Linked DNA regions of Ovis aries. The protein of the gene in region 1 interacts with the protein of each later gene in a pairwise test. Links are inferred from orthologs where the notes say so. Each region holds a gene or a part of one and is shown on either strand. Other genes may lie near its edges.

What was found.
Region 2: the proteins of EHD3 (region 1) and MICALL1 interact in binary tests that used the Homo sapiens proteins (3 or more experiments, as listed by UniProt). The link is inferred for Ovis aries from reciprocal best matches to the Homo sapiens genes EHD3 and MICALL1.

The regions. Positions count from the first base shown.
Region 1 is NC_056056.1:38,031,443-38,035,611, reverse strand, and holds the start of EHD3 (EH domain-containing protein 3), read right to left. Parts: upstream 2,901-4,169; 5' UTR 2,400-2,900; coding exon 2,173-2,399; intron 1-2,172. UniProt on the Homo sapiens protein: ATP- and membrane-binding protein that controls membrane reorganization/tubulation upon ATP hydrolysis. In vitro causes tubulation of endocytic membranes. Binding to phosphatidic acid induces its membrane tubulation activity.
Region 2 is NC_056056.1:215,557,662-215,561,340, reverse strand, and holds part of MICALL1 (MICAL-like protein 1), read right to left. Parts: intron 3,675-3,679; coding exon 3,259-3,674; intron 128-3,258; coding exon 1-127. UniProt on the Homo sapiens protein: Lipid-binding protein with higher affinity for phosphatidic acid, a lipid enriched in recycling endosome membranes. On endosome membranes, acts as a downstream effector of Rab proteins recruiting cytosolic proteins to regulate membrane tubulation.

The sequences.
Region 1 (4,169 bases):
AGGGTGAACGCTTGTACTCAGTGGATAAGAAAGAGGAGGGCTCTGCCTCTCCCAGCCTTCCTGTCTCCCTCAGATAAGGAGTAATCTATAGCAATTCGGCTCTGCCACCTTCTTAGACCCAGTTAACAGCCAGCATGACTCAGGCAAAGCCAGGAGAGTGTCTCAGACAAGAGGCACTTAAACACGTCTGCTGTTCTGGGATCTTGCCCTCGGGGATGTTGGCTTCTCCCCACCTCCCCTCCCATTCTGCAAATGTCTACTGGGAGCTCCTGTAGCAGAGACCCCCAAGCAAGGACCCAGGGAGCTAGGCAGTAAGTGCTGGTGCCACAGGAAGGAGATGTTCTAAACAACCTACAAAGAATTATAACCAAGGTGTGGCCAGAGGGCTGGGGAAGGCCACGTGATGGGCAGGAGCCATCTGTAAATGGCCTGTGCTTCCCATGGGGCCAGGTGGAAGATGCATGTTACAAAGCACAGAACCAGGAGGCTCTGAAGTATCTTTGGCTGCAATGGGCATTTAACCAAAAAAGGGAGATGGATTAGATCAGGGGTTTTTGCCCTAAGGTCCAAGGCTTGGACTCCCAAAATTATATGTAAATTTGGGATGTAGGGACTTTTTTGTAAAGATGGGTTCACAGACTTTTTGAAAAGTTAAGAAGCAATGAATTAGATTCTTTGCAAGGGTCCTTGCAGGTAGGACCCTTTGCAAGGGTCCTAACAATATAAGACCTCCAAAAGCCAACAATCCCCCTGGGTACCCAACTTTAGAAATCACTCAGCCCCTCAAGCTGAGTGACTCCAAGGCTGTCCACCCCACAAGGAAAAACTCAGCTGATGTCCCGTTCAGACATGTCATGTTAATATGGTGTGTGCCCTGCTCCCAGAAGGCTTGTGTTAAAAGCTTAGCACTAGGGAAGATTTGAATCTAGAAAATCAGGAACTAGACTGTGAACTTTTCTGCTCTCCTCACCAAACAAAGCACAGTGCTTTGCATGTTGCAGGTCAATGAATGGAAACAAGAGCGTCCCTGCTTTGAAACCTTCCATAGGAGATGAGCACCATTGACTCTGCAGGGGCAGAGGGGAACTGAATCCATCACCACTTTCTATGAGCCTGACTCTCAACACAGAGGGCCACTCAACACAGAGCACCCTCAACAGCTTTCAGGCCTGTGAATGTGTGAATGAGACCAAGGAAGATGGCCTGGCCTTGAAGGCTATGTGGCCTGAGGGCTGGAGAGAAGCCTGTCTTCTAAAGATAGGAAAGGTCCTTATCGCTCTGGTGGACAATAAGCGTGAAGGCCGGGTGGCCAGCTGACTTCCTGAGGATCCCTACAGCCCGAGGATTCTGTAATTCAAGGGGATGGATGACTCACCCTCAAAGTTATAGGCATTGAGCCAACCATCTCCTCCCATGCATCTAGGACCGCATCCCAGGTCAGCCTCCCATCCTGTTATATGGTTTGGACAATTCATTTAACCTCTCTACGCCTCAGTTATCTTGCCTGCCAAGTCAAGGAGCTGGATGAGACCGTGGCCTGAGACCGTGGCCAATATTCTGTCCACCTCCAAAAGACTTTAATATGATTACTGAGCCACGAAGATCAACAGGAAACAAAATAGCATTCTGCCTCTAGACACTGTCTCCAGTCGACGAGAGATATTTGTAAAGAGCTCTGATTGGAAAAGGAAATTGATGAAAGAAGGACAAGTGGGCTCCCTGGCCCACCTCCTCAGCTGCAACTGTAAAGCCCCCATGTGAGTGACTGAAGCTTTTATAAGGCAAGGGAATTGGTCCTGACCATCAAGCACATGTCCCTACAAGGAGATGGTGTCAGACACCCCCACCAGCCTAAGGTATTCTTGTGACCAGGATACATCTCACTTGTGCCTCGTGGGTTTCAGTTTCACCATCCATAAAATGGGTAGCATAGGGATGGCTCTGAACTTTACACTTCATGGGCTGAGTGCAGTGGAGAGGTGCTAGGTAGGATGGAGCAAGGGACCATCCAATGAAATTATAGGGTAAGTTTTGGACAACCCCCCTACAAGGATTTCTTCAGAGATTTCAAGTGAAGACTTATCTCTTGTCCCCAGGAGGGACATCGGGAGAGAGCAGAGGGTCTAGCGCTGGGCAGCTGGGTGGGCTGCTGGGGTACCGTGGCTGGCTCACCTGATGAAGGTGGTCTTCCCGGTGGAGTACTGGCCCACCAGCAGCACCATGGGCTTGTTGTCGAAATCGGCATCCTCCAGGGCAGGAGAGTGAAACTCGTGGAAGCGATAGTGCTCTTCCAGGGGCAGCAGCTTGGTCCTGTACAGTTTCTTGAGCCCATCGCTCACGGTCTGGAAGACCTCGGGGTCCTTCCTCCGGCGGTCGTCGGAGCGCAGCCAGCTGAACATCGCGGCCACCGCTCGCCTGCTCGCCCCCGGTGCGCAGTCCCAGCAAGAGGGCTTGGAGTCTGCGACCCCGGGTCCTTGGGGAAGGTGTCCCACAGGGAGGGCCCGCTGGGCTCCCAACCGCGCCGCAGCCTCACCGGAGCGCCGGGCTCAGCCGCACCATGGCCAGGACGCAGGGCTCGGGGGTCCCCGGGTCGACGGCGTGGGACCGCGAACGCGCTCTTCCCCTGCTCCTGGGACCAAGCCCAGCCCCGGCTTCATCCAGCAACCAAGGCCGGAGAGAGGAAAAATATCTGGGTTGGGCGGGAGAGCTGCGATCTTGGGAAAAAAGTCAAACCTGCAATTAAAATGTCAGATGCCGGGTCCCCCGGTCTCCCCCAGCTCTCTCCCACTTTGGCTCGAGTGCAGTTAAGGGATGCTTCTAATCTGTTCCCGCCCGCCCCGGAGGCTCTGAGGAGGCGGCGGCGCTGCCCAGCCCGCGGACAGCTCAGCATCTGCAGCCGCAGCCCGCAGCCCCAGGCGCGGGTTTAAATGCCAGCCGTGCAGGAAGCCGGCTCGCGGAGGAAGTCCCCGAGTACTGGCAAGGCTGGCGCTGCCCTGCGGCCCCGGCGGGGAGAAGCTGAGCAGGGCGCCGCCATGTTTGTGGGCAGTGGCCCCACTGGGGACCCGCGACCGCTCGCTGCATGGGAAGGGAGGGATGCTGAGTTCTGTGGGAACGCTCTGGTATTTCATTCCCGGCCTCTGGAGGTTTAATTTGGGAACAGCGCCCTCTCAGGGACAGCTGCGAAGACAGAGTTGACCTGCTTCACACTCTCCCTGCTCTTAAATATAGGCTTCCCTTTACTGAGTTCAGTTCCTTAGGATGACAGGTTCTCTATTGTTAGGTAATATTTTTCTTGGCGCATGGAAGGAAGAGTCCAATATTAGCCCGCCCCAAATGACCAACACTATCACCACCCAAACTTTTTGCTTGGTCTAGGTGAAGTTAAACTATTCTCATTCATTCATTTGTTCATTCCTTCCAATAAAATCGAACAAAATAAGCAAAACGTCCACAAATATTAAGCCAGTATTACAGCACGATTTTGGTGACTGTGGTTACAAATTTGATCACCAAAATAAGCACATAGAGTCTCTCTCTTCCAGGAACTCCAGCCAGGCCGGGTTTTAAGAGGAGATAGGAACAGAAGGCCTGGGTGCATAGTGGGAGGAGGCATCCACATCCTTTTTGTCTGGATAATTTGAGAAAGGTGTCACAGAAAGCCTGACTATGAGCTGGATCTTAAATGATGAACCCATAGAGAAGAAGGGGGACATTCCAGGCTGAGTAAAGGGCACTTGCAAAGGTAGGGGAACATGGAAGAACTTGGTGGGTGAAGGCAGAGTCAACAGTTTGCTACCAAGAGTATGGAATTCAGGAGGATGGGAGGGAGTGACTGAGGCCAGGCAGAAAAGGTTTTACAGAAACAGGAATCACAGAAGGAATAAGGAATCAATAATAACGTTGTTATTAATCATGGTTAACATGGACCAAATGCTCACCATGTGAAGGGGCCTGGGCTAAGTTCCCTTCAGGTATTGTTTCATTTAACCTTCATAGCTTCCCTGGTGGCTCAGATGGTAAAGAATCCACCTGCAATGCAGGAGACCTGGGTTCGATCCCTGCATTGGGAAGATCCCCTGGAGGAGGGCATGGCACCCCACTCCAGTATTTTTGCCTGGAGAATCCCCATGGACAAAGGAGCTGACATGACTGAATGACTAAGCATAGCA
Region 2 (3,679 bases), about 180 Mb from region 1:
TGATGAGTGGGAAGCCATGTCCTGGGGCAGGTGGTCTCGCTGGCTTCGAGCCCCTGGTGGCCTTCTTTACACTTGGGGATGCTGTGGGTGATGGCTTCCGGTTAAAAGGATTCTCCTTGCAAGAAGACTAAAGGCAGGGAAACATGACAGAAGATATTAAAAGTCAGGAAGGGGCAGTGGGACCCTGGGAGCTTGATCACGTGGATCCACGGAAAGCAGGGCGGGTGGGACTCAGGCAGAATCTCCCAGCATCCAGTCTGAGGCACCCAGTCATTCAACAAAGACTTCCACCTCCCAGCACCCCTCATGTGCAGCTGCCACACTGGGTGCTGTTCTACACGCTTGTCTAATCCTCACAACCACTCCACAAAGTGGGTCATGTCTGCCCATCTTACCGGTGAGGAAACTTAAGTTTTGAGGGGTTAAGTAATTGGCCCAAGGTCACATTCTTCCCAAGGGCCCAAGCTGGAGTGTGACTTGGTCTGTTTCAGGCCGGGCAGCCCTCCGGCGCTAGGGGCAGTGGTCAGGATGTGCAGTTTAGGGCAGGACGAAGCAATGGTAGCTCACCCAGGCCTCACCAACACCCCTTTCCCAGCAGGGATTACAGGGCTCAGCACTTTGCCCAGGGTCTCCCAGCCAGGAAGTACAAAAGCGGAATCCCGCTTTCAGTAGAGGGAGGCAGCCCCTGCCCTACCCAGGAAAGGCCCCCATCCTACACTGCTCCTCCCCAGGGAGATCTCTGTCCTCTCTGAGGCCAGCAGAGCGGGCAGGCCCAGCACGGGAACAGACCCTGCCTGCCACGAGGGCAGTGCCAGCATCTTCCCACCACTTCCCCCAGCTCATCGGAAACAGGCGTCCCTGAGGCCATGGAGTGCTCCCAGGAGGACCTGGCTTTCCAAGAGCTGGGGGAGGAAGGGGGAGGGGAGAGCTGCTCACCTCACCTGTGCCAGCTGCTCAGGTGGGGGAGGGGGAGTTCTTTGAGGCTGCTAGTTGCTCTGGGAGCTGACGTAGGAGTCCAGGCGCGGCTGGGAGATAGTCTGGTCCCCGCAGGGCAGCACCTACCCAAGGGCCTTGTCTCCCGCCCTCAATGTCTCAGATTCCCTCTGAATCCTAGGGTGAGGGTAAGGGATGGGGCACCCCAGGAGGAAGCCCCCTTGGGGCTCTGCCCTCACCCCCCACAATCACACCTGGAGCACCTCAACAGGGTCAGACAGCCCGAAGGCCCCAAGTCCCTCAAGGGTTCTCAGCAACAGAACTTCAAACCAACCCTTCACACACCCCAAGGCAGGAAACGGCCAGCTGCCTGTAGTGGGGATGGGGGGGATTCACAATCAGCGCTCTCCTCCACCCACTCAGCAAGGAACCCTGGGACCCCTAAGAACATCCAGAGGCCCAGAGAAAAGGCGGGACCTTGTCCAAGACACACAGCAGGTGGTGACAGCTGGGCTGGGGGTGGTCACCCAGACCAAAGAAGGTTAGATGGCATTTGAAAGGTGCACAAACCAACAGCTCCGGCTCCTCTGCAGACTATCCTCTGTCAGGCTGGTCAGATCAGGACTACAGCCAGCCTGGGGCCAGCCTCCACCCAAGGCAGGTGAGCCCCAGGCCCTCAAAGGACTGCAGAGTGCGGCACCAAGTGCAGGATCAGAACCCGCTGGTGGACTTCCCCGGTGGCCCAGTGGCTAAGAATCCGTTTACCAACGCAGGGGACTCGGGCTCGATCCCTGGTCCGGGAAGATTCCACATGCCTCGGAGCAACTGAGCCTGCACACAACTACCGAAGCCCACGCTCTCGGGCCCGCGTGCAACACCTGAAGCCCGTGCGCCAAGAGCCTGCGCTCGGCCACAAGAGAGGCCCCCGCAAAGAGCAGCCAGCACATCGCAACAGAGCAGCCCCCGCGCCTGCAGCTAGAGAAAGCCCGCACGCTACAGGACCCAATACAACCAAAAATAATCAATTAATAATTTTTTAAAAAAGAAGCTGGTGGCTTCAGACTTCCCTATTGGTTCAATGGCTAAGACTCTGCAGGGGGGCCCAGGCGCGATCTCTGGTCAGAGAACTCGATCCCACATGAAGCAACTAAGAGTTTGCATGGTGCAACTAAAGATCCCACGTGTTGCAGCTAAGACCTGGCACAGCCAAATAAATAAAAATTTAAAAAAAAAAAAAAAAAAAAAAAGGACCCTGGTGGCACAAAGGGACTCTGGTCCTTTAATAAATATTTTAGAAAAGAAAAAGATGCTGGTGGCGCAAAGGAGAGACCTCTTGGTAAACTAGGTGCCCAGAGGAGTGTCCTGCCCCCGGTGACCCCTGGTTCTTGGCGGGGCCCTGAGAAACAGGTGCTCCACCAATCACAAAGGTCATCTGGGAAACAAGCTGCCAGGGGCGGGTGCCCACTGCAGCCCCCGGAGGGGACGGAGCGTGGGGCCAGCTTGGGAGGGGCCTGGGAAGGGAGCGGCCGCAGGGGCTGTCTGTACCCCCAGAGTGGCCACAACAGAGGCTCCCAGCAGAGCTGTTTCCTGGGCCCTCTGCCTGTTGAGAGCTGACCTCTCCGCTACAAGTCCACCCCACTACAAACTCCACACAAGGCACAGTCATCTCGGTGCGCCACCCCCAACTTGGCTATGAGCACCTGGGGACAAGGACCACCACAGCCATCACCCTGGGAGCCCAGGCCAGCCCGTGCACACAAGAGCGACTCCATCGACACCATCAGCCCCGTTCTATAGGAGGGGAGACTGAGGTCTCTGGAGAAGGAACGCGACCCCAAGAAGGGCACCATCCCCTCCCCTCTGTGCTCTCTACCCCAGGTGGAAGGACAATCGTCTAGGCCTGTCTCCCTGAGCAGAGGGTGAGCCCCTGGAGGGCAAGGACAGGGTCTCAATGATGCTGTGCCAGGTTCTAGCACAAATAGGGCTTCAGTGAATGGAAAGCGGATGGAAGATGTGTGGGTGAGTGGTGGCTGGTGTGTGTGTCTCCAACAGGCACGTGCATGGGCTCGGCAGGTAAATAAGAGCTGGATGTCTCAAGACATGGAAGGTTGGGCAAGTGGACAGGTAAACAGATGGACAGGAGGTCTGGCCAGCGGATAAAAGGATGTTGAGAGGGAGCTGTACCTCAGTGCATGGAGTGATGAATGGCCAGACGGGCAGAGCCAAGGTCACCCCACAAGTCAGGGACAGCAACGATGGCCAGCCCTGGACATTCCTGCCCCGAGACCAGGCCCACGTCCGCTAGACAGGACAGCAGACACTCACCTTCACCTGCAGCTGCGGGGATGAGGCTCCAGGGGAAGGCGCAGGGCTCTTGTCTCCAACCAGCACAAGGGGGCTGGGGGCAGTGTCACCGCAGGGCTTGGCTGGTGGGGGACCCGGGCTGCCCCTGGCATTGGGGGCAAGCCCAGGGCTGGCTTGAGGCATCCGGTCCATGCTGGCCTGCACCAGCTCCCCGGAAGAAGACAGGGAGGAGTTGGCAGAGAGGCTGGCAGAGGTCCCAGGGGTGCCAGGGGCGTGGACGGCAGGCTCTGAGGAGCTCTTGGGCACGATGGGTGGTTCCAGGAGCTCCTCACTGGGAGGCTGGCTGGAGCTCTCGGACGACAGGCTCTCCACGCTGAGGGCTGGCGATGGGGTAGCTGAAGGCGGCTCCGAGCGGGACAGGCGGGAGGCATGGAGAGCTGCA